Struthio camelus: one gene and its partners. The protein of the gene in region 1 interacts with the protein of each later gene in a pairwise test. Links are inferred from orthologs where the notes say so. Each region holds a gene or a part of one and is shown on either strand. Other genes may lie near its edges.

The links.
Region 2: the proteins of PRKG1 (region 1) and FAM124A interact in binary tests that used the Homo sapiens proteins (3 or more experiments, as listed by UniProt). The two-hybrid records come from large-scale screens. The link is inferred for Struthio camelus from reciprocal best matches to the Homo sapiens genes PRKG1 and FAM124A.
Region 3: the proteins of PRKG1 (region 1) and IRAG1 interact in a two-hybrid assay, tested with the Homo sapiens proteins (2 studies listed by BioGRID). The link is inferred for Struthio camelus from reciprocal best matches to the Homo sapiens genes PRKG1 and IRAG1.

The regions. Positions count from the first base shown.
Region 1 is NC_090948.1:42,921,883-42,929,805, forward strand, and holds the start of PRKG1 (cGMP-dependent protein kinase 1), read right to left. Parts: upstream 3,066-7,923; 5' UTR 3,002-3,065; coding exon 2,691-3,001; intron 2,424-2,690; exon of another isoform or gene 2,409-2,423; intron 1-2,408. UniProt on the Homo sapiens protein: Serine/threonine protein kinase that acts as a key mediator of the nitric oxide (NO)/cGMP signaling pathway. GMP binding activates PRKG1, which phosphorylates serines and threonines on many cellular proteins.
Region 2 is NC_090942.1:193,537,329-193,544,319, reverse strand, and holds the start of FAM124A (protein FAM124A), read right to left. Parts: upstream 3,083-6,991; 5' UTR 2,975-3,082; coding exon 2,916-2,974; intron 697-2,915; exon of another isoform or gene 685-696; intron 1-684.
Region 3 is NC_090946.1:24,140,816-24,147,836, reverse strand, and holds the start of IRAG1 (inositol 1,4,5-triphosphate receptor associated 1), read left to right. Parts: upstream 1-4,010; 5' UTR 4,011-4,025; coding exon 4,026-4,049; intron 4,050-7,021.

The DNA of each region.
Region 1 (7,923 bases):
CTCCAGTCTTTTCTCCACTCACTTCTTGCAAGTTATTTCCACTGGGGGTAGGGAAGGGTGGGGAGAACAACTCTTATTTTAGGCAACTTCTTCCTAGTCACTCAAATACAAAGACTCATGTAGAGGCAAATATCTGACTTCTCTCACTGGTCTTTTAACCCCGAAGAAAATGGCAAGATGTGTCCCTCTGTATATTTTAGGTATAAACTCACGCGAGCCCAAAGTCCAGTTTCACATCAGCAAGATAAATTTATAGGGAAAATTATAGCGGCCCAGCCCTGCAACAGCAAATAAAGCCTTGTATGCTCTGAAACTTATTTTGAGTATATACCCACGCTTCCAGAGCCTCTCTGCCTTTTCCTCTATTGCTGCCATAAATGGTTATATACAACATCAAAATAGCCTAAAGACTTTGTGCCACGTTTTTAATATAATCAAGACAAGAGGTTCCTTGCAAGCACACAGGAGCACTATATAAGCCATATTTGGGGCTCGTGCGGAGAAGTACAGGAAAAGGCATGATTTAGGGCAGTCATGATCCCGACAATTTAAGCCGACCTGTGCTTCCTCTCCCAGTTGCCGCACCGCTAAATCCGGCTAATCCAGGTTACGTTTGGACACGCAAATTACAAGTGCTCGTCAGCGCCCTGACTTACAGGTTGCGGTAAGCACCTGAGAGGACAGTTTACGTCCAGAAGACGTGGCGCTAGCCCGGTGGGCGTCCATCCACCTGCAGGCGTGGGCGCTCCTCATCACCATCACGCGGCTCATCTCAGAAGGCAGCGAACGCTCTGGAGAAGAGGGGACTATTGCGCTCCAGCACAGCCTCATGACTTGTCGCAGCGAAACGAGTCACCTTTTTCCCTCAGTGATCACGGCACAAAGCAGTTACGGGAGCTGAAAACAATGTCATGGGTACCGCCGACCACGGGAGGTCAATACTGAACGCCGCTTCAGGCAAGTGGCCTGCCTTATCCCTAAGTAAAACTGAACGGAGGAACTTGAGGAATGAGAGGTTAGATTGAAGCCGGGGGGTGGGGGGGGGAAGTTAATTCAAGGCTTTGACAGGTTTCCTGTACGTTTTCCGGTAGGCAGCAGAGATTCAGGACTCGGTCCGCCTACAGCCGAAGGGTCTCGGTAGGCCAGGGGAGAGCCGGCGGCTCCATCTAGCAGCTCAGGCGCAAGAACTGCCACCTCTGAGCCGTGTCGCTGTCCCCCCCCGCCCCGAAACATCACAGGACATCGCCCACAGCTGCTGAAGGCTCCTTCACACACAGCCCGACCACGCGTCCCTGCCTGCGCAGAGGGCACCGGGGGGGCTGTCCGTCCGTCCGTCCGTCCGTCCGTCCGTCCGTCCGTTCCCCCCCCAGCGAAGCGCTTCCCCCTCCTTCTCGGGTCCCGCTCCTCTACTCCCCGCCGCTCTTTATTAAACTCAACGCAGCGGCGATTCGCCTTAAAAGGGCAAAATATCTGTGGCGAAAGCTCGGGCTGGGGGGGGGGGGAGGGCGAGGCGAGGCCAGGCCAGGCCAGGCCAGGCCAGGCCAGGCCGCCGCCATCTCCCCCTCCCCCCGCCCAGGAGCAGGCGGCCGTTGCTAGGAGACGGCGGGGACCCGCCATGGCGGTTGGGCCAGGCCGCGGCCCGCGCACCTGCCTGAGGCGAGGAGGCGGCGGCGGCGGCGCGCTCCGCCTCGGCCGCACCTGGGCGAAGCCAAAGGCCGCCTGCACCTGCCATTGAGCCGCCATCGCCGGCTCTTGACGAACCAACCCCCCCCCTCCCTTTTGGGCTACTCCTGCCACTATATCATTTAAAAAAAAAAAAAAGGAAAAAAAAAAACCCATATAGTCCCATACACCGACCCGCTCCCCAGAGGGACACACGAGGAGGACAGACCGAAGGACCCTCCTCTGAAGGACCCTTTCCGAGCCGAGCAGGCTCCTTCCCTCCTGTTCCCCAGCAGGGGGTGGGGGGACACACAAAAACCGGCCAGCCCTAAACAGCAGGCGGGTTTGGGCTTGACGAGGCCCCTCTCTTCCAGCCTGCGACTACGTCGAGCGAGGGATTTCAACTGGGGGGGGGGGGGGACAACCGCCCGGCCGCGACTTTCCGCCCCCTCGCTCGCCTTTGACGGGACGGGGGAGGCTCCCCGGCGGCCGCCGCCTTCCTCCCTTCCCTTCCCGAAGTCCAGAAGCTCCGGTCCCAACCAACCTCCTCCCCCCCCCCCACCTCCCCGACCAAAAACTCTCCGAGGTGCCCGCCTGCCTCGACGCAAACTTGTCGCCGAGGGAAGGAAGGGGATTTGGGGTGCGGGGGGGGGGGGCGGTTGTCCCCTCCACCTCAGCACCCACTCGCGAGCTTGGCCCGACCCCCCCCCCACATCCCACCAGCCAAACACACCCCCAACTCACACCTCGCAACTTTCCCACCCTCGGGAACGCAGCAACAACTTGCCCCCCCCCCCCCCAAAAAAAAACTCTCTTGGTTGGGGCGGGGTGGGGGGGGGGAAGGCAGCAGCAATGCGGCTGCCCAGGAAGGGGAAGGGGTTGGTTTTGGGGAGGGGGGGGTCTGCCCTCCGGCATGCCGCACGCCGCGGGGGGGGGGGGGCAGCGCCCGCCCGAGCGGCTCTGCCGGCGCTCCGCTCCCCAGAGGCAGAGGGGCTCTCGCTCCCGCAGGGCTGCGACCCGCCGCTTACTGTGGGCTCTTGGGGTAGAAGGGCAGGGTGACGTGGCTGAGGTCCTGGATGTCGAAGGCGGTGGGCTCGGCTGAAATCGCCTGCCTCTTGGTCCTCTGCTCCCCCTGCAAGGTGCCGGCGCTTTGCTGCTGCGCCTGCTGCGTGGCGGGCCGGATCACGGAGCGGTACTTGTCCAGCTCGTTCTGCAGCTTCTGGATCAGTTCGTCCTTCTGGTCCAACTCCAGCTCCAGCTCGTCGATGAGCGCATCCCGCTGCCGCAGCTCCTCGATCTTCTCCTGCAGCGCGTACTGTAAATCCCGCAAAGTGCCCATGCTCCTGGCCGCTGCCGCCGCTGCCCGGCTCGCCCCTCGCCTCTCCCGGCAACTTTCCCCCCCCCCCCCCGCCGGCTGCCTCCCCGCACTTGGGCCAACTTCCCCGCCGCCGCCGCCGCCGCCGGGGCGCTGCCTCCGGCCCCGGGCCCGCTCCGCCCCGGGGCAGCCGGACCCCCGCCGCACCGCGCTCCGCAGCCCGGCTCCTCAGGGGTGATTTCGATCTGCCTGCGTCAGGCTAGACTGGAGAGGGAGCGAGACGCACACACACACACACACACATTACACACACACCACACACACACGGAGGAGGAGGAGGAGGGAGGGAAGGCACGGAGGAAGGGGCGTCTGCAAGGATGCACATGCACTTTCGCCGCGCCGCCGCTCCCTCCTTTCCCCCTCCCTCCCCAAAAGGCGGCCGCCGGCTCCCAACGCCCCGCACGGCCCGGCTCCCCCCCCACCACCCCCGAGGGGGGCGAGCGGGGCGCGAACCCGCGGCCCTCCGCTCCCCGCCCGCGGCTGCGCGCCCCCCGGCCGGGGGCTCCCCGCGGCACTGCTAGGGGCTCCGGCCGGGCTTCTCCCTCTGAAACCCCCGGGGAGCGGGGGGGGGGGGGGAGGCTCACGGGCAGCCCCGTGGGCGCCCACAAGCTCCCCTCGGCTGCGAGCAGGAGCCGGCTGCAGAGGTCCCGGGGCCAGGGGCCTGGGCCAAGGGCAGCGTTTGCAAACCCTCCGCTCCCACGCTGCGCCGGCTGGAGGGCGGCGAACCCGTCCCCACACTGGGAGAAGGCTGCAAAAATCGCCCCTCGCGCTCCCAAGCATCCCGCGCCCCGCTGTCGGGGCTGTGCCCTGCTCTTCTCCCGTCCCACCGTCTCCTTGAACCAAAAGTGCTACTTGTTCCTACAGAACCTGCCCACCTTATCGCGTGCTTAGGATTTCTTTACAGCCCGTTTTCACTGTCTTCTGTAACAGAAAGCACGAGCCAGCACCGGGCAACGGCATGGCTCCTGCTCAGCCTGAGCTTTGGGCTCCAATCCCTCAGGTCTTAAGGTAAATATCGGTCAAGTATGTCTTCGCTGGAAAAAATCTGGAGGCAGTGCTTATGGGTCCCATAGCACTAAAAAAGCACATTAAAATATGGGTGCACTTTCTGTGTAGCCCCAATACCTATATGGAGGTGTAAAGTAGATTCTGCTGCACCAGACACGTCAGGATTTTCCAGGAATGCGAGCACGGTGCATCGCGCTCCAGGACTTTCCACGTGCTAAGCCACGGTGGCACTTTGGGTCTACCTATGCAATACTGTTTATGGGTTTGCGGCACAAAAATAACAAAACAAAACAAATGAGCCGGATCAGCCGAGCCTTCGGTGCCAAATGGCTCTGTTTTCTTTTTCTTGCCTGCCTTTTGCTAGCACAGAAAAAGGACGATGATGTATGCTGTGACAGATACAGCTCCCGGACTTGGCCCCCTTGGACGCAGAGAGGGATCTGTGGGCAAAAAGTATGGCTGGGTTTGGTCTCCCGAGAAGACTGTATGGTTTGGAGGAGATGGGGTAGAAATCCCCCCCCCCCCCCGCCCAGCCAGATGTAGGTGCCCCCAAGAGCTTTTGCAGTGCTCAGCCGCCAGAGCAGCATGCTTGGATGTTTCCAAGGCGCCAGAAGCAGCTGTTCCCGTTCCCTTTCTGGGAGTTGGATTTGGGGAGGATGTAGTGATGGATACATTTTTTTTTGGAGGTGGGTGGTAGCTGCACATTTGTATCTGCCATTGGCAGGGCTGTCCAGACCTCCAACTTGGGCATTAGTTGGAAATGAGAGACAGCGTTTATGGGTTTTGCTTTTGTTTTTCTCCTGTTACACACTGGCGCTCGGCTGAGTCCAGAGTTCCAGCTTTCAACCTGCAGATGGTCTTTATAAAATTAAAAAAAAAAAAAAAACAACGAACAGATGAGGAATTACAACTACTCCCCTATTCAAAGCGGTTGTCTGCAAGGGCCTGGATTCTTCTAATAAATCTTGCATGAGACTTTGCAGGTTCTGCAATGTGTTTGGTACCTCCTGCATTTTTCAAGGGGCACGTGAAAAAACAGATTTGGCTTATGTAAAATGCTTCAGTTTTAAGTCTTCTTGATGCATTTGGTAGGCACAAACTCAAAGTTCAGTGGTCTTTTCCATGGGCTGACAACGCGCTTTAAGTTCAGACTTTTTTTTTTTTTTGGGTGGGGGGTGCTATATATTTCCTCCATTTACATCTTACATAACTCACTAGGAGCAAAAGTACTAAATATCCTCTGAACATTTCCATTTTAAGGCAGCAAAGCCGTATTACTTAGTTTCTATTAGAGGTGCGCAGCCTGGGACTGAGACAACAGTAACATCAGAAAGGACTCGGAGAAAAACATCACAAATGCTGCTTGACAGAGGCGTAGGCTGTCAGGGCTGACGTGTTTGATGAGGCATCGTATGCTTAGGATGCTCTCTTACAAGTATTTCTCCACAGTGGTTATAGAAACTCGCATATCTGCTCTTTAGTGTATCCCTGAGATTGCTGCCGCTGGCTTTACGGGAAATAAAACTGGCCGGGAACTCGGCTAATGATAGCTAAAGAAAATATTTATTTACAGGTGGAAAGCCCATTCTCCTGGTCTCATAAGACCTCCGAGAGCCAAAGAGAGATTTTACGTGACAGTCGGAGATTTGTGGTGAGCAGCCGTAAATCCAAGGCCAGCCTTCAAGATGAGACCAAGGAAGCCGAAAGGTCTACAACCTGTCAGCAGAGCCCTGTCCTGTGAAGGCTGCAGACGGCTGCCTGGTTTTGGTTGTTTACTGCTCTTCCGAAGAAACCAGCAGACGAGTGGGGTTGGGGGACCGCAGCTGCCCGTGCGGCTCACGCTTCAGGGCTTTCGGGGTATCGGCCGCCTTGCAGTCTCAGCAGCACGGAGATCCCGCTGCCCCAGTCCGATCAAAATAAATCCTCTGATCCCGTTCTTTTCAACTTAAAGTTCCCAGCAAAACACTCGGGTTTTCAGAGCAGCTGCTTTGTCTTCTCAATCGAGCGTACGGAAAGAAAAAAGCTTTACATGGACGCGTGGCAGGAACGCAACGAAGGGCCTTGGTCCGGGGACGACAACACGAAGCCGGCTTGTAGTTTGTTACGGGAGCCAGCAGCCAAACTTCCTCCAGGTCCCAAAGCCTCTTTCTGATCGGACCACTGCAATACTGTGTCTCACCCGGCCCCGATGTCAGTAAGCAGCAGACTGGAAAAACCAAACCAAACCAAACAAAAAAAAATCCTACAGAGGGCTTGAGCTCTACCCCAAAACACCGCCGGGGCTTGCTTGCTACTGGCAATCACGGGCTTCCCCACGAAACATCAGTGTTTCTTCTTCTCCTCTGCCCGCACAGGTTCTGATACACTCACAATATTTCCTCCGCGCACAGCTTCTGGGTTTTAATAGCTTGGCTTCTAAACCTTTCAAGGATCATCTGTCACCAAACGCACCCACTCAGCTGCCATCTTCGACGCTCAAAACATGTTTGAAGGCTCCCTATTCCGAAAACATCGCGCGGAGCTCGCCAATCAAAACTCAGGTATGAAGCTGGATCGCTGACAGGCAAACGTCACGTTGCCAGAGCCAGCCAGGACAGCAAGGAAGGAGAAGCTAGGGGTGCATGACGGAGTACATACATAAACATTTCCCTCCTCCTGGACGTGCCTTTTTTTTTTTTTTTTCCCTGCCTAATTCATTGCAATCCATTCCTTACGCCTTCCCCAAAATGTCTACAGGAGCAGACCGGCCTGCAGCAGAAAGCAAAAGTTGAACTGTTTGGCTTTTGCAGCGGATTTCCCTGCTTGTCTTAGCTTTGTGCGGATTCGGGAAGAATTGGCAGGTATAGCACCCACGTGACTTTAGCCGCTGCTGGGAACAGAGACACTTGCAAAGCAGAGTACGTTGCCTATATGCTTACTCAGAGTAACACCTTTACGATGTGAGGCCGACTAAAAATACAGAAAGACATACTGAAAGGTAGCACGCACATAAGCTGAACTCTTGCAAAAAGCATGCCATAACCCACTTGATTTGCAGTTCGTCTGTGAAAGCCACCGCGTCTCAACTGTGGGATGCTACCTCCACCACCGGCCCAAAACTCATGCCGACACAGAGGAAGGAGTGCCACCTACTGAAACACCAACACATCCGACTTTTCCTTGGCGGCTCCCAGCTGAGACAAACTTATCTTATGTCCTCAAAGGGCAGCTGGGGAATAATTCAGCTCCCAAGGATACCGATGAAGCTAGAACTACAGCATCGCAGAGCCGCCTCACCGAGACCAAGGAGCAGGAATCAGCAGTATCTGGGGAGTGCTTCAGTCCCATTTCTCTCTGACAACGAAGCCCTATTAGCTCGTGACATTGGACATTCCTCATTTTGGGCCTTTCTCGAGCCTCTCCCTGCACACAGCATTGATGAATGTAGAATCAATTAAAAATGAGAATCAAGACCCATTTATTCTTCCCCCTCGGAGGGCTGGAGATACACTTGTGTGGTGTGTGCTGTCTCTTAAACCCCACTGATTCCCAAGTGAAGTCGAATCAACGTCTCAGCTGGATTATCTCGAGGTTTTTCTTTAGCATGTAGATTCCTTTTTTTTTTCCTCCATTATCACTAAGAAACACTGAGAAGTAGCTCTTGTGAAGAACAGGCAACTGTTCCAGCCTGCCCTAGGAAATCCTCCCAGTATAAGGATCATTCTGAGTAGACAGTGTATGAGAAAAATACCCCAAGATCTATTAACTGACAAAAAATGCTCACTGCAGAGACAAGAAAAAAAATAATAGTGTGCTGCACTGTAATTGGTAATATGCTTAGCTTTTTATATCACATTAGAGGCATACATAATAACACCGAAATGAATGCTTGTGTCACG
Region 2 (6,991 bases), on another chromosome or scaffold:
AAACTGTAACTGATCTTTCCTGTAGCACAGAGTTTTGCCTGCTCTGTAGCTGGAAGCCATAGCAAAAGCCATAGCAAAACGTGAAGAAACATATGCCATCTAGAACATTTAATGTATTAGATTTATTAGTTGCTATAAATGGTTTCAGCACTACAGATTCCATAAGAGCTCACACATCCTCGTATACCATCATCAAGGTGACAATGGCTTGCAGCGCCTGGATTTACTCTACAGTCACTATACAATACTGTTCTTTGAGTGACAGAAAGAGACCACTTGATGTGAAACTGTTACTGAATTACTTTGACAGTTGTCTCTCCTAATACATAGGACATTCATAGGATGATGGCTGAACTTAAAAACCTTTTTTTTTTTTTTTAATATTTGAGTAATTGGAGAACAAGGACAGTTCAATTTGGCAATAGCTATTATAGGACTTAGATAAAGTAAAAGGCAGATCTTCACTAAGAAGAAAAGGCAAGCACTGTGAACAGTTGGCTTGGTGAGAAAACTGAAATATAAACATTGTGAAAGGGACATACGTGTCATGTTTATCAGACTAAATGAACTAGATGAACTAAAAATAGCTGCTAAATAGAACAAAAAATAAAACTGAAATGCAGAGGTCTGTTTTTTTCCCCCCCAAAATAAAATTCAGGGAAAGGAACTGCACTTATTAATTACCATATGCCACGATTAAAATTCCTCCAACAGCCTCTACTGTTAAACTCTGCCTTCCAGTGTCAAGCCTGCAACAAAGATGCTTCATAAAATCATCAGCTTTAACACCTCATCAGCGCCAGACATGAGCAGCTGTCCTGCTGATCACTAAGGTCTAAAGGCTAATGTTATCATCTGGGTCAAATCCTTCCAAGTGCCCCTCCCAACAAAATGCAGGTTTTTCTATTCTGGATAAGCTCAACAAATTAAGAGTGACTTGACCCATCAGGGATTTCTTGAGCTTTCAACTAGCCATGAATTCACCAATTATGCTGTCTTAATCTTATCCACATTCCCCAAAGATGAACTAAAAAACTGTTGTCCCAAGGACTAGGAAGGTGGCCTGCATTTTTTCCTTTATGCTGATGCCACATAAAATATTTTAAAACTTTCACCATACTGCAATACTGCAACAATTTATAGTGAAAGGAAAAGAGTCCACAACTTCTCTGATGACAGAGGAGTTCAAAACCAAAAATTTTGATTTAAATGAATAGTTGGATGTACGAAAAAAGATTGCAATATTCCATTTTCATCCAAAACTTTTAAAAAAAGATTATAATATTGCTACTTTAATTTGGGTACAGTGCCACCACTTCACAATCAAGAATTAGCTTTACAGTTCCTTTATGCTCTCAGTCTCATACTTAAGCACAGTGCCCTGACACAAACAGTAAGCACTTTTATTTACTTGCATCAGTTTGAGATTAGGGTGCTCCCTTTTCTCTGAATCTCAGCATGTGCTTTTACAGCAGCAAGGCAGACAGGGTCAAAGAAAAAACAGGAACGCTGTCCAACCCCGTTTGTGTGTTACACCCTCACACCCATGAGGCGGTCAGACTCAAGACCAAGGGAGAAAGACCAGGCGAGGAGCCAGGAGGAACACGGCTGAGAAAGCTAGGATGGAGGAAAATGAAGACCTAGGAGAGAACAGAGCAAAGCGAACAGGCAACCTCATTTTGTCCCTCTGGATCCAAAGAATGAGCAAGGGCTCACCACCGTTCCTGACAAGACAACACGGCAACAGCATGTAAAATGGGCCGGAAAGAGCCTCCCTCTCTCCACCACAGAGACAGGTTGGAGTTGGGATCTGCAGCAGTCAGAACTGGGGATCCCATGACTCATCCTTGCAGCCCCATGATATTAGGGCAAGTCATCTAACTTTCAAACACACTGTACCTCTGGCAGCTGGGGCACAGAGCCAGATAAAACTCTCCTTGACTCTTGTATGACACAGGTTGAACTGTCACTCTCCATGCCTCTTATACACTTACAGGTTGGACAACTACCAAAAGAGCTTATGGCACTTCACAGGTCAGTATGGTGAGAATCACGAGAGCAGCAACCCAGTTCCGGGGTGCTACCAACCTAACCTGCCTCTGTGGCGCTCCGATGGTCCCTCCAAGGACTCAGCCTGTCTGCCTGATGCTGGCAAGGTTTCTGCCACAAGGGCTGATGGGAGATGGTGACAGGCTAGGACAGGCACCTTCCCAGCCATCCTTAACACGGATTATCAGGGGACACAGAGGGATGGGGCAGAACCAAACCCTGAGCACCACACTCTGGCACCTGCTGATGGCCCATGAAGCACAGCACCAGGCCCCACCGGTGAAGTCGCAGGAGTTGGTTTGGGGCTCACACTTGAAACACAGCACCGTGACACCTTCGCATCTTGGTCCCCACGTGTAAGACGAGGACGATGGGGAGCTCTTCCCTAACTCGACCACAGGAGAGGGCGGACCACCGGGGCCTTTAAAACACGGCAATCCTCCGAGGTAGGAGTGCTCCCTGCTCCCCAGGGGACCGCAGCGGCCGGGAGGGCTCCGCCGCAGCCACCTCGGCGCCCCCCAACCCCACGCTGGCCCGCGGCCTCTCACCTACCCACAGCAAGCGCGGGTGGGTTAAAACATGACAGTTAGCCAGAAAACTACACGCGAGGGGTGCTGCCCGGCAGGCAGGGAGGGAAAAATCCCACTGCTGGCTGCCGCATGCCGGGACACAAAGCCTGCGAGGAAACACCCGCTCCCCGGGGCCGCCGCGGGGCGCGCTCGGCGGAGGGCGCCGACAACAAGTGCAGCGGGCGGGCGGCCGGGCGGGCGGGAGCAGCTGCGGCCGCGGGGCAGGAGCCGCTCCGCCACCGCGGGGAGGTGGAAGGGGGGGGGGTGCGGCCGCCGGTCACCCCGCGACTCACTCACCCGCCCGTCTCGGCTCCCGAGTCCACGCACTCATCCTCGCCGCCGGGCTTCTTGTCCATGGTGGAGGCGTCAGAGCTCCATGGCCGCCGGAGCTGCTCGTCCCGCTGCGCCGTGTGCGGGCGGCGGCGGAGAGAACCGCTCCGCCGCGCGCACGCCCCGCTGAGGGGAGGGGCGGGGCGGGGCGGGGCGGGGCGGGGCAGGGCGGCGGCGCGCGCGCCCCCTCCCCCAGCCGTTAACGGCCGCGCGCGCGCCCCCCCTCTTCAGCCGTTAACGGCCGCGCGGAGCACTGAGGCGGGGGGGGAGGGGGAGGGAGCGCCTGCATCATGGGGCTCGGTGCTCCCCCCACCCCAAAATACCCCAATCTCGCCGGCAAAATACCTCGGGGCACCCTTGTTGCGCTCGCACGTGCTGAGGGATCGTCCTATTCCAGCCCTCACGTGTTAGAAACTCCTCATGCATCATCATGCCTGCGTTAGCAAGCACTGCCGCAGCCTCCTTATATCGCTGCTATTCTTCCAGTAGAGAGAAGGGCTAAGAGGTGTGGTGCCTGTATCTGTTGGAAGTTAAAGGCACCTGTCTCTTTGCTATCCATCTTCTTTTCATTTTTGGGGTAGGTGCTATCCCTGTCTTCTCTTTGAAGTCTTAGGCTGTGCTGAGCTTTCTCTTGCCCCCTGAGTGTCACCTGGCACGCACTCGTTATATTAAATATCATTATTTTGAAATGATGTGCAAAAACGGACAGGGAATGGTTTCCTAGCCCTGTGAGAATTTCTGTAATAATGAAGGAAAAACCACTTTGCTCTGAGGCTTCCAGGGGAGAAATACTGATGTAGCAAGACTTACCACTAGTGGGGCAGTTGCATTCAAAGAGGTTGAACTATAAGCAGGAAATGGGCTCCTGTATTCTGCACATCTCCTGCCCACCAGCCTTGTTTTGTATTTGAACACTTCTCCTTTTCTCAGTCACTCACATTTGGTGTAAATATTCACCAACACAGGGATGTGAACCTAGATCGCACTCAGCCAAAACGTCAGTCATTTGTTAGTCTGTTTGGTTGTTCAGGCCCGAACAGATCATAAGGGAAGGGGGCAGAACTGATTTGTCTCCAACCTGAAACAAATCATGCGTCTCCTGAATCAGGGTCAAGCATAAAGCTAAAAGTCAGTACTCCTGTGCTCCCTGCAATTGAGATGTTATGGGACGACTTAAAAAAAAAAAAAAAGAAGATGATGACTCCACCTTGGAAACTAGGAAACCTTTTCCATTAATGTTGTATGGAAAATTTCACCTTTGAGGAACTGGAATTTTCTCTCAAAAAATCACCAATGACTGCCTAATTTCTGTCAGCTGCAGGAGACAGCCACTTCCAGATCACAAGCAAAAAAAAATTAAAAAATAAGTATTTTGTTCCACCTTTTTTTATTTGTACCTCACAGGGAAGAAGGAAAATGATGAAAATCTCAGTATTTGAAACATAAAATACCAGACTGGACCAGACTGTAGAAATGCACTGTACAAGACAATCTTACATTGTCAAAAGAATTGCTGAGCTAGTTTAGTTGTCTACATAGTCTGACATCGATGTCCTTCATTTGAATACTGTCAGTAGTAGAGTGAGCCATGTGTAGGCATGCGCTAACACAATTTAATAGTAACAACTAACATCGTTTAGCAGGCTCAAGCTGTGTGTACTTCGTGCCACTGATGTCTCTAGTGGTGTATGGCATTGGCTCTCTAAAATAATCTATATGTAGCTAGGAACATTGTAAAATCAAACAGAAAGAGTGACTTGGAAACAACACCAAAGGTCTTTTTAGCACACTGTAGGAGCAATGAACATGCATCAACGCCGGAAATGCTCATAACGAAACTGCTAAGTCGATAAAGCAGTGAATTCCTGTTGTCCCACCACGGAAGGGACACTGAACTCATGTGCAGCCCTGGGACCTGTGGGTATCACAGATCAGTCCACTATGTATCCCCAGTGATATTTAGAAGAAACTTTCTAGTTCCTGTATCTATTCATCAAGTACTGGAAAAAAATCCTAGTGGTGTATGGGGACCTTAGTGTTTAAAATGTTTTGACTATCTGCCTTGATTTGCACACATGTCATTTTAAAAACAATATAGATGATTTTTCAGTTTATGTGGAGGGCTTAACATAAATAATATCCCAATAAAAATAATGCGCTAGGTATGGAAGAAGCCCCCTTAACTGGAGTCCCTCTTCCCTCTTTCCTCTAGCAAGTTACTAAATGCTAGTTTGGGCAAAATGCTATAAAAGGTTCTTGATACACATCAGTTCTATACTGGCATATGTATAATAGTTCCAAAAATACAAAAACAAACTCTTCCATCCTTCCTGACTGGTAGACTATACCATCTAAAGCAATTTCCTTATATGTGCAAAATTAAATGTGTGTAATTTTTTTTAGGGTTGGGACCAAGGCGCTGTGCCAGGCTGTGAGAATAACTGTGGCAGAATCTGGTCCTCAACTTCTTAGTATTGGAATCACCACATTCAGGTAAAAGGCCTTAACATGTTTTCAGACATTGTGTATTAAGTGATTTGCCCAAGGCAACACCATGGCAAAATTGAGACAAGAATTCAGTATATCTCGCTTCCCAGTTCGGGCTCCTGTTCTGAAACAGCTAAAGATTTCCTCTCTAACGACTGTAATGACTATGGAGGACACTGAACGTCCCAAAGGACATATTCAGTATTCTGTAGTACCAGCACTGCACAGACCCTGCTGTCTCTCTGATTCTTAGTCTACACACACAAATTTATTTAATCAGTACAACTCTATTTAAAAGCAGGTCATTCCCACTCACTTTTAAGTGTAATCTCAAAGTCAAATAAATTGAGTTTAGCCACTGTTGATGTGATTTAAGATGTAACCAAACCTTCTTAAATATTTAGAAATAGATTTAGTTAAAATGATACATTTCTGCATGTAAAATTTTAGGTGGTCAGCTAATACATCTTTTCTGTCTCTGACTTTTATTATCCTAGTTAGTTATGTTTAAGCACTGGCATATGAGAGGATCTGGAATAGATTTTATGCTGCATTTAGGATTAATTTACTCCATCTGTCCAAGGGAGGGAAAAAAGAAACATTCTAAAGAAAATATATAATTAAGACAGTAAGTAAAGCTACCACAAACTCTAGACTCTCTTATTTATATATTTGCCTCATTTAACTCAGTTTTATTCTGGTCTTTCACGTAATTATGGTGAAAAGAAGTCTTCTCTGCAATAAATTCTCGGCATTTCAGAGATTCTAATGAATGAGGTGTTATGTCCTTGCTTTTACTTAGCATTTCTCTGTTATCATTTCTTCACATTAGCTCTTCTGTATGGTCTGTTGAAAAAAGAAGTTACGTTTTATTTACTCTCTTGTATTTATGAGTCTGTGATACCAGTTTCAAGGTAAGGATAATAGTGAAAATATTCTTGGGTTAAATTTCCCCAAATTTCAAGCCTTTCATTAAGCAGCATTTAATAGCAGTGGTCACAAAGGCTGTCAGACATAAAAGTATCAGGAGAAATCTTCAAAGAAGCCAAAAAAATAAACCACTCTCTTATCAAAAAGTAATGGAACTAACACTGAGGACATGAAATTAATGCCTGTTCTGCAGAGAGTTCTCTTGCTGTTAGTTGTGTAGGACCAGATCTAAAATATAACTTAACTTAAAGGAGGATGTAAAGAAAATTTAAATGCCTGAGTTCGAATCTGTGATTCCACACTGTGGCTGATTAGGAGATGCCTAACCTTCAAAGGCAACTTACATTTTTAATTTAAAATTTTCAATATCCCTAATGCTATATGTCTAGAATTTACAAGGCTAACCAGTTTACCTCATACCAGAGCTGAGCAGTACCTAATTGCAACCACCAGCTGCTGAGACCTCCATCCTTGCAGAAGCAAATGCAGGCAGTAAAACCTCCTCCCACCTCCCTCACATAATGATCTTAGTCTTTAGTAACTGAGAACACAGTGCGGAAAAGTGATAGCTGCAGCCTTGAAGGGGGATAAAGACATCACGAAGAGCTGCGTGGATGAACCCATGT
Region 3 (7,021 bases), on another chromosome or scaffold:
AGTTGAGAAACACATTAACTCTGCCTTGAGACCTGCCTAATTTTTCCTTAATATCACATATGCCATTTTGTTCACCAAATACATATTTTAAAGTATACCAGAGTTCCGCCTGGCTGGTTGCATGGTGGCTATCTGACTGAGCTCTGCTCCTTGACTTCTTGGCCTTCTGGAAGAAAGCCTGCTGGGGGTGGAAGAGAGAAAAAATGAGGTCAGTAAGAAGTAGGATGAAGAAAATTAATGTTTGCCAGTTAGCAGAGCTCATGGGAACATAGATATCTACGAATGGTAGAGTGCTTTTTACACAAAACAAGGAAAAGAATTTTTGAAAATGATAATGGGAAAAGTAGTTAGGAGGGATTAGTTGCAATTTAAATGCAGGCGGCGTATCTAATAACTTCTGGACCGTGAGATCTGTTTAGGCAGTTAGGAGTGTTTCACAGCCTAATGTAATATTGGGTGTACTTGTGCAGTAAGTAAATCATGTGTGGCAAAGGTTTGTTATGTGACTTGCAAAGATAATTTCCTGTGAGGTAAAGGATCTACCATCTTTCAAATCTTAAATTTCTACCTCATTCAATATTGGATAAAAATTTGAGCATTAACCTTTAGTAAGCCCTAAGAAATACGTAGGTGGCTTTCACTGTTATGTTGGAAAGACTGATCATGTGGCTTCGCACTCACTTGCATTTCTTTCACTTTGTGAAGAAGCTCTCTTGCTGTTGAGCTATGAAACATGCAGGGGTACTTGAAGAGCAGTAATAAAATGGACTGTGTAGATAGGGAAAAAAGGAAAGGAGAGATGCATGTATTGTTTTCTCTTGTGCCACGAAGAGTCCTTGGCTGTATTCATTTTAAAGTTCTGTACTTTGGAGATAACATCTTAAAAGGGACCCTGGAAGCAGCTGCCAGTTGAATTAATGTAACACTAGTTTCTGCTGGACCCAGTGAGGGGAAACAGATGGACAAAGGCCTTAGGGTCTGAATCACTTAGGAAGTACTACTGTCCCCTTGGTTCTCCCGCCCCTGTGGTCCCCACTGTGGGGAATGGAGAATGTCAGCTTCTTGCGATGGCAAGATTAGGGAGAAGTCTCTGCTCTAAGAACCTTGCAGACATTTCCTGTCCCATGGCTCCCTTTGGCTCTCCTTTCCATACAAGGACTAGGTCCAATAACTTAGGCACATACTTAACCTGATAAAATCATATTACTGGAGTTTTGTCTTAAACTGATTAGTTCAAAGAAAAACCCAGAATGAACAGAACCTAGCAATGAAGCAGAACGTAATTTTTGTAAACTTATACACAACTCCTCCGTCGATTTACTTTCAAGGGGAGGTAATGCTACTTGTGACCTAATTTTCTTTAAGTTCTTCTTAGTGCTAAATAAAAACAAAAATGGAAAACAAGGACTCTTCTCCCAAAACCAAGTCATTTAGAAAAGTTTGATTCATGCAGTATTAACTCCCAATTGCCCAAAAGAAGTGGAATCCAGAAATTTTAAGGCTGTTTAAGGGACGCTGTCCTTAAAAGAAAATCTCATCTTTTTTTTTTGCCTGGGTATATTAGTTGAAGATGTACGTGAAGTTCTGGCCTTCAGTATTTCTAAAACTTTATATCCTTTGCTTGCTTGCTGATTGTCTTCAATATAAGATTCAACCTAGAATTCTTGTAAAAAGAAAAAAAGTTGTAAGTTGCTCCTCAGTTGGCTTTACTGCAAGATAGTTAAACCTAAACACTGATCAGTAACAGAATGGAAATTATGTAAATAATACTAAAACAAGATAAAGCTGACTGATACTCTTTCACTGCAAAAACATTGTTTGCAGATACAATTGCAATCTTTTAGTAAGTCCTAAACTCGCATTTAACTATGTTAAAATAGTTATTGACTGTGTGTAAAATCAGTGTTCAACTGATTTTTCTTTTAATGGATAAGAAAAAAATCTAAAGCTGAGATCAAAATGAATTCTACGGGAGTCACGTACAACTGCCAGAAAACATTATTTGTGAAACTCTGTGGGAATTAGTTATCAGATTTCTTTAAACTCTGAAATAAAGATACATAACCAAATGCCTTCCTGTTGGAGTTGGTCTTATTGGTAATGGACATAGTATCACCCCCCTCCCCTTTATTTATTTATTTATTTATTTGGTCTCAGCAGAGACTCATACCGTAATTAGACATCAGTAGGGGTATTCTCTTGATTGCTCCGAATTAGATCAGGCTGGACATATATCAGAACGTTTTCTGAAGCTTAAATTTGACTCACCCAGTGTTGTATTTATTTTATAAGTAAAGAAAGAACTCTAGTTTTTCCAGCGTTGTCCAATACTTCCTGCTTGTCATAACTTTTCTCTTGTCTCGTTTAACCATGTTAACGTTAAGTTTTATGTGTTCCTGAGCTATCGGGAAAATAGGAAGTAGAAAAGCAGGTTCTTTCCTGTAGTGCATCTTTGTAAAGTAAGTAACTCCCTTGTGGGTGTTACAAGGCCTGTGGGCTTTGTAAAGACTATGCCCAAACAGAAGTTTGTTAGAAGATGGGGACATTTGCTGTATTCTTCTTGCACTTTTGTTAGTTTCCTTCTTTGTGTTCTTCTGTACTTTTTAGATTTGTATTTTCCGATATTTTTTAGGGTGTAAGACAAGACCAAAAAAATTAAATGGATTAAGTTAAGCTAAAAAGTCAAATATTAGAAAGTTTTATGTTGAAAATATTATTGTGACAAAATTATTCAAATTTATCTCTTGGCTCTGAGGTTGCAACTTGGAAGAGTTCAGTTGTCTAGAAATATCATTTAAATTGCTCGGGGGATAATTGCAATACTTCTCAGGATGAAAGCTGAAAGCTGAGACACTTTGAATTCACATACTAGTTACACATGCTTTGCATGCCCCAGTAGTATTGTTCTGTATCTTGTAAATAGGAACACCACTTAATTTGTCTTCCAGGTTCTGCCTTGTACAGTTGTATGGATTTTAATGTAGAACTTGGATCGTTAGCGTTATCACAGAGCGTATTTTATATTAGGCCTGGAGCTATAACCATGTGTTTTAGTAAACTATGATTGAAGCAGTTTCTTAATATCTTGCAAACTTAGGCATTAAATTAATATGAGAAACCAACTTAGTATTGTAAAAATTAGATGCAGTAGAAAGCTGTTGTTATTTTATCCGTGTTGCAGACAATAGCGTCTCACAATTTCCTTGTAGTATCTTTTGTTATATAGGGCAAGAATGTAAATGAGTCAACTGTAACTGTGCATTTTTTTCCTTTTCCAGTGGATGTTTCTATTATACAAAATTTTTGAACCCCCAGTGTAGAGTCTAAAAGGTTTTCTGTTAAGACATTCTGAATCTGATTTTCAGTGTTTTAAAATTTTTTGAGATAGCCCAATGTATGCCAGCAAATGATGTTTATGCATTTTAAATATTATAACAGTGGTTTGTGTTTGAAAAGCTTATCATATGGTACAAAGCATAGGAAAACACCCTGTTTTGCTGACATTTTATTTGAATGAAATAACAACTTAGTGTTTCTTAAGTAACTCAGAGTTACAAAAGCTAACTGAAAATGCTCCGTGAATTTCATATGCTTTCACACCTATATAAAGGGAGTATAAAAAGCCTCCCTTTCTAACATTTTACACCCGCTTTGCAGGACAACAGAGAGTCACAAAAAGGACTTCAAAATTCTTCAGTTCAGCTGTGTTCATAATGAGTATGTAACTCCCATTGCTGACAGATGAGTTGCTTGACTTTGCTGGAGGCAGTATGAGGTCAAGAAATCTTACTAAAATGCCTTCTTAACTGTTTATTTCTGCTCTTTATATATGTATATGTGTATATATGTGTGTATGTATATATGTGTGTGTGTATGTATATATCTGTATATATGCACATACACACACATGTATTTGAGATATCTATGTATATTTTGCTATGATTTGACAGAGCATTTGAGGTCAGCTGTCAAACTAGCAGTGGAGATGGAGTAAGGCACCTTTATTCTAAGCTTTTGCTAACACAATGCTCAGCTGTGACTCAGAGATGGTAAGTTAACTGATTATACTTAGCTTTCTCTACTATGGTAAAATGAGTTGCAGAGGGAACAGTCTGAAAGCCAAGGGCCTCTGAATAGTTTTCCCTTTTATGGAATAGAGCTCCTAGATCACCATTTCCTGGAGATTGTATTCTAAGCCTACACAGTGGTAAAAGAAGGTTCTCTGCATTCACTGATCTATATCTGACTACAAATTTGAGCTCAGGAGATCTTTTCTTTTTTTCCTAACTATTTTAAGCAGTAAGATTACAATAACAGACCAAAACACTGAAAAGCACTATGTGTGCTCTCCTGCGTTTTTTTTTTTTTTCCAACTCATTTTGTTAGGTGCAAAAGGCTCTCGCAGACTAAGGTTCTAGATCTTCACCCACATCCATTCCTGCGGTAGTTGAGTTAGAAAACTCTGCAAGTATTTAATTTTAAGTGGTAATTTTGAAGCTCTTGCAATCTTGAAAGGACTGAAATTGTGTTGGGATCACAGTAATGTCATGACAGACTTCTGTAGGATGGAAGTAGGTCAGACAGAGTTTGATCAATGCCTAACACAAATGAAGAGAAAATCTTGTAATTGGTGTAGTAACTAGGCCACTAAGATATTCTCATGCACTTTGGCCGTTTCTAAAGTGCAGATATATTTTCTTATCTACCCTTTCAGTATCTTCAGGGACAGTAATTCCAGTTGTTTCAGTTGGTATCTTGCTGTATTATATCATTTTCTTCTTTGACTGAAACGTGGTTATGCTTGTGGAAAGGAGATAAAGCTGGCAAAGCTAATTGCAGCATGATTTCAAAGGCTGCTCAGCTGGCAGGAGAACCAGGCTATAACCGGGATAATTATGTTCTCTACACTTTGGTGCAGAGTTCAATAAGCTTGTAAGCTGTTTTTGTAGAGAGGTGTGGAACAGGGTTCAAAGCTGTACTACTTCTTCCTAATGCTCTACTGAGGGTGAAAGAAATCATATAGCTCATGAATTAAGCTATTTTCTTATGTATTTTGATAAAATACTGGTAATTAGTAGCCCTTGCTTGCTTTGATGTCCCAGCAGACTGCAGCAGTGTGGTCAAGAGTATGCAAACATTGCACTTTTTTCAGAACGTGAATAATCAACAGCAATCAATCAGCAGCAAGCTTTTGCTGCTCCGGTAGAGCCCTCAACACTGAGTTTTGGGGGAGAAATATTAGGAACAAAAGGAAGGTCAAAAGAAGGCATTTTCCTTCTAATCAGCACCACAAAGTTTAAGAACTATTTCCTGTTTGTAAGATAGCTCTGTGAGGAAGTTGGAGTAAGGTCCTAATTGTGTCAGAGACTGGCTGAACTCAGTCCACTCCAAATCTGGGTGTTGCTAAGGTGGCCTAAGGTCATCCCCCTACCCTCCATTCCCGCTTGGCTGTACTTTCTGTGCTACATCTCTAAGACAACACAGCTCAGGATTTGTCCTTTTCTATTCTTAGATAAGCCTATTTTGTGTGTGCGTGTCTGGGGGTTTTGTTTTGTTTTGTTCTTTTAAAATTTTTGTTTTGCTTTTTCAATCTGAAAAAGGAACTGAACCTTGATATGCTTAATGGCTCGCTCTTGTTTCAATGTGATTTGCATTACTTTAAGTTTAGTGTGTATTAGGGAGCCCACTAACACAGGGAATCGACTAGGACACATTAGCCTGTACCGCTCTATATAGGACTCCACAAATACGCTTTGGACATGGCTTGGAACATTCCTGATTTTTTCAGGCCCAGTGTTCTGTTGAGTTGAGCCTATCAGAATCATTATAACTTCATAAAGCAATCACTAACGGGTTACATAAACATCCAAATTTGTATCTTCTCTTTTGCTTTGTTTTTGTTTGAATTTATTATGTTCTTGCAAAGTCAGAAATTGCTTCAGATGCCAGGATTCGGTTAGAGATGAAAAGCAAATCCATGTCACTTTCTGAGTTACCTTGGCTGTGTCTCATCTTCATGTGATTTTAATAGTTGGTGACTGTTGCTTCATACAAAAATACTTAACTGTTGAAACACGTAGAGGTTTAATGTTACTGTTATCTGCCTAATCTCTGTGGGTTGATTAAAATACATATACTCATAAATGTCTGTTCTGCATCATATTAGGAATTTAAAAAACATTTTGCCCTAATAAACATTTCAAAATCTTGTTTTTATTTATGGAATACTTCCTCTACTTTTACTTGCAGTCAGAAATGGGTACAATCATGATACAAATATGAGCTTCCACTTACTTCAGCAGAGCTAAAATTTCACCTTAATGTGTTCAATATGCGTACAAAAACTTGAAACATGGGATCTACCTACAATGATTAGCACATCCTGCTTCTGAAAAAAGTTATGTTCACTGTGGAAAAAGTGAAATCCTTATCTTGGTCTTCATAATCAGATAATTTCTTTTGTACCTTTTCTATTGTCCTTACTAAAGAACTTCAGTGGAATTATTATTGTTTTTAAACACACTAACACTTGTGTATAGATGTCATTGTGACACTCTGTTAATTCTGCATTAAATTTCATATGAGGAGACCTTATTTCTGACTCTTCTAGCAAAAGAGAAATGTATAAACTGTAACGTGAAATAAATCTAATGAAAGTGTTGGTCTTAGCTGCTTCCGTAGGCCAAAATTTTGCAGATCCTGTAGGTTTTATAAGTTCTGTGAAAGCTTTGGCGAGGAACCTGTCACTACTGAGGCTGCTTCAGTATCCATGTGACTTTTAAAATCAATCCCAGCGTTATGACAATTTTAGTCATCAGCCTGGATAAACAAGCATGTTCCTGAATAAATTTCCCTACCCTTTCCTGAAATGGAAGGCAGAACTTTAGAAGATCATTCTTACAACTCTGTCGAAGGCCTTGAACTTTAAATTACTTCCTGATCCCCACCTTTTTTGCCCCATCTGTCTTGATTTCCAGAAAAAGAAAACAATAGAGAGGAGATTAGTAATTCCGATCTGGGA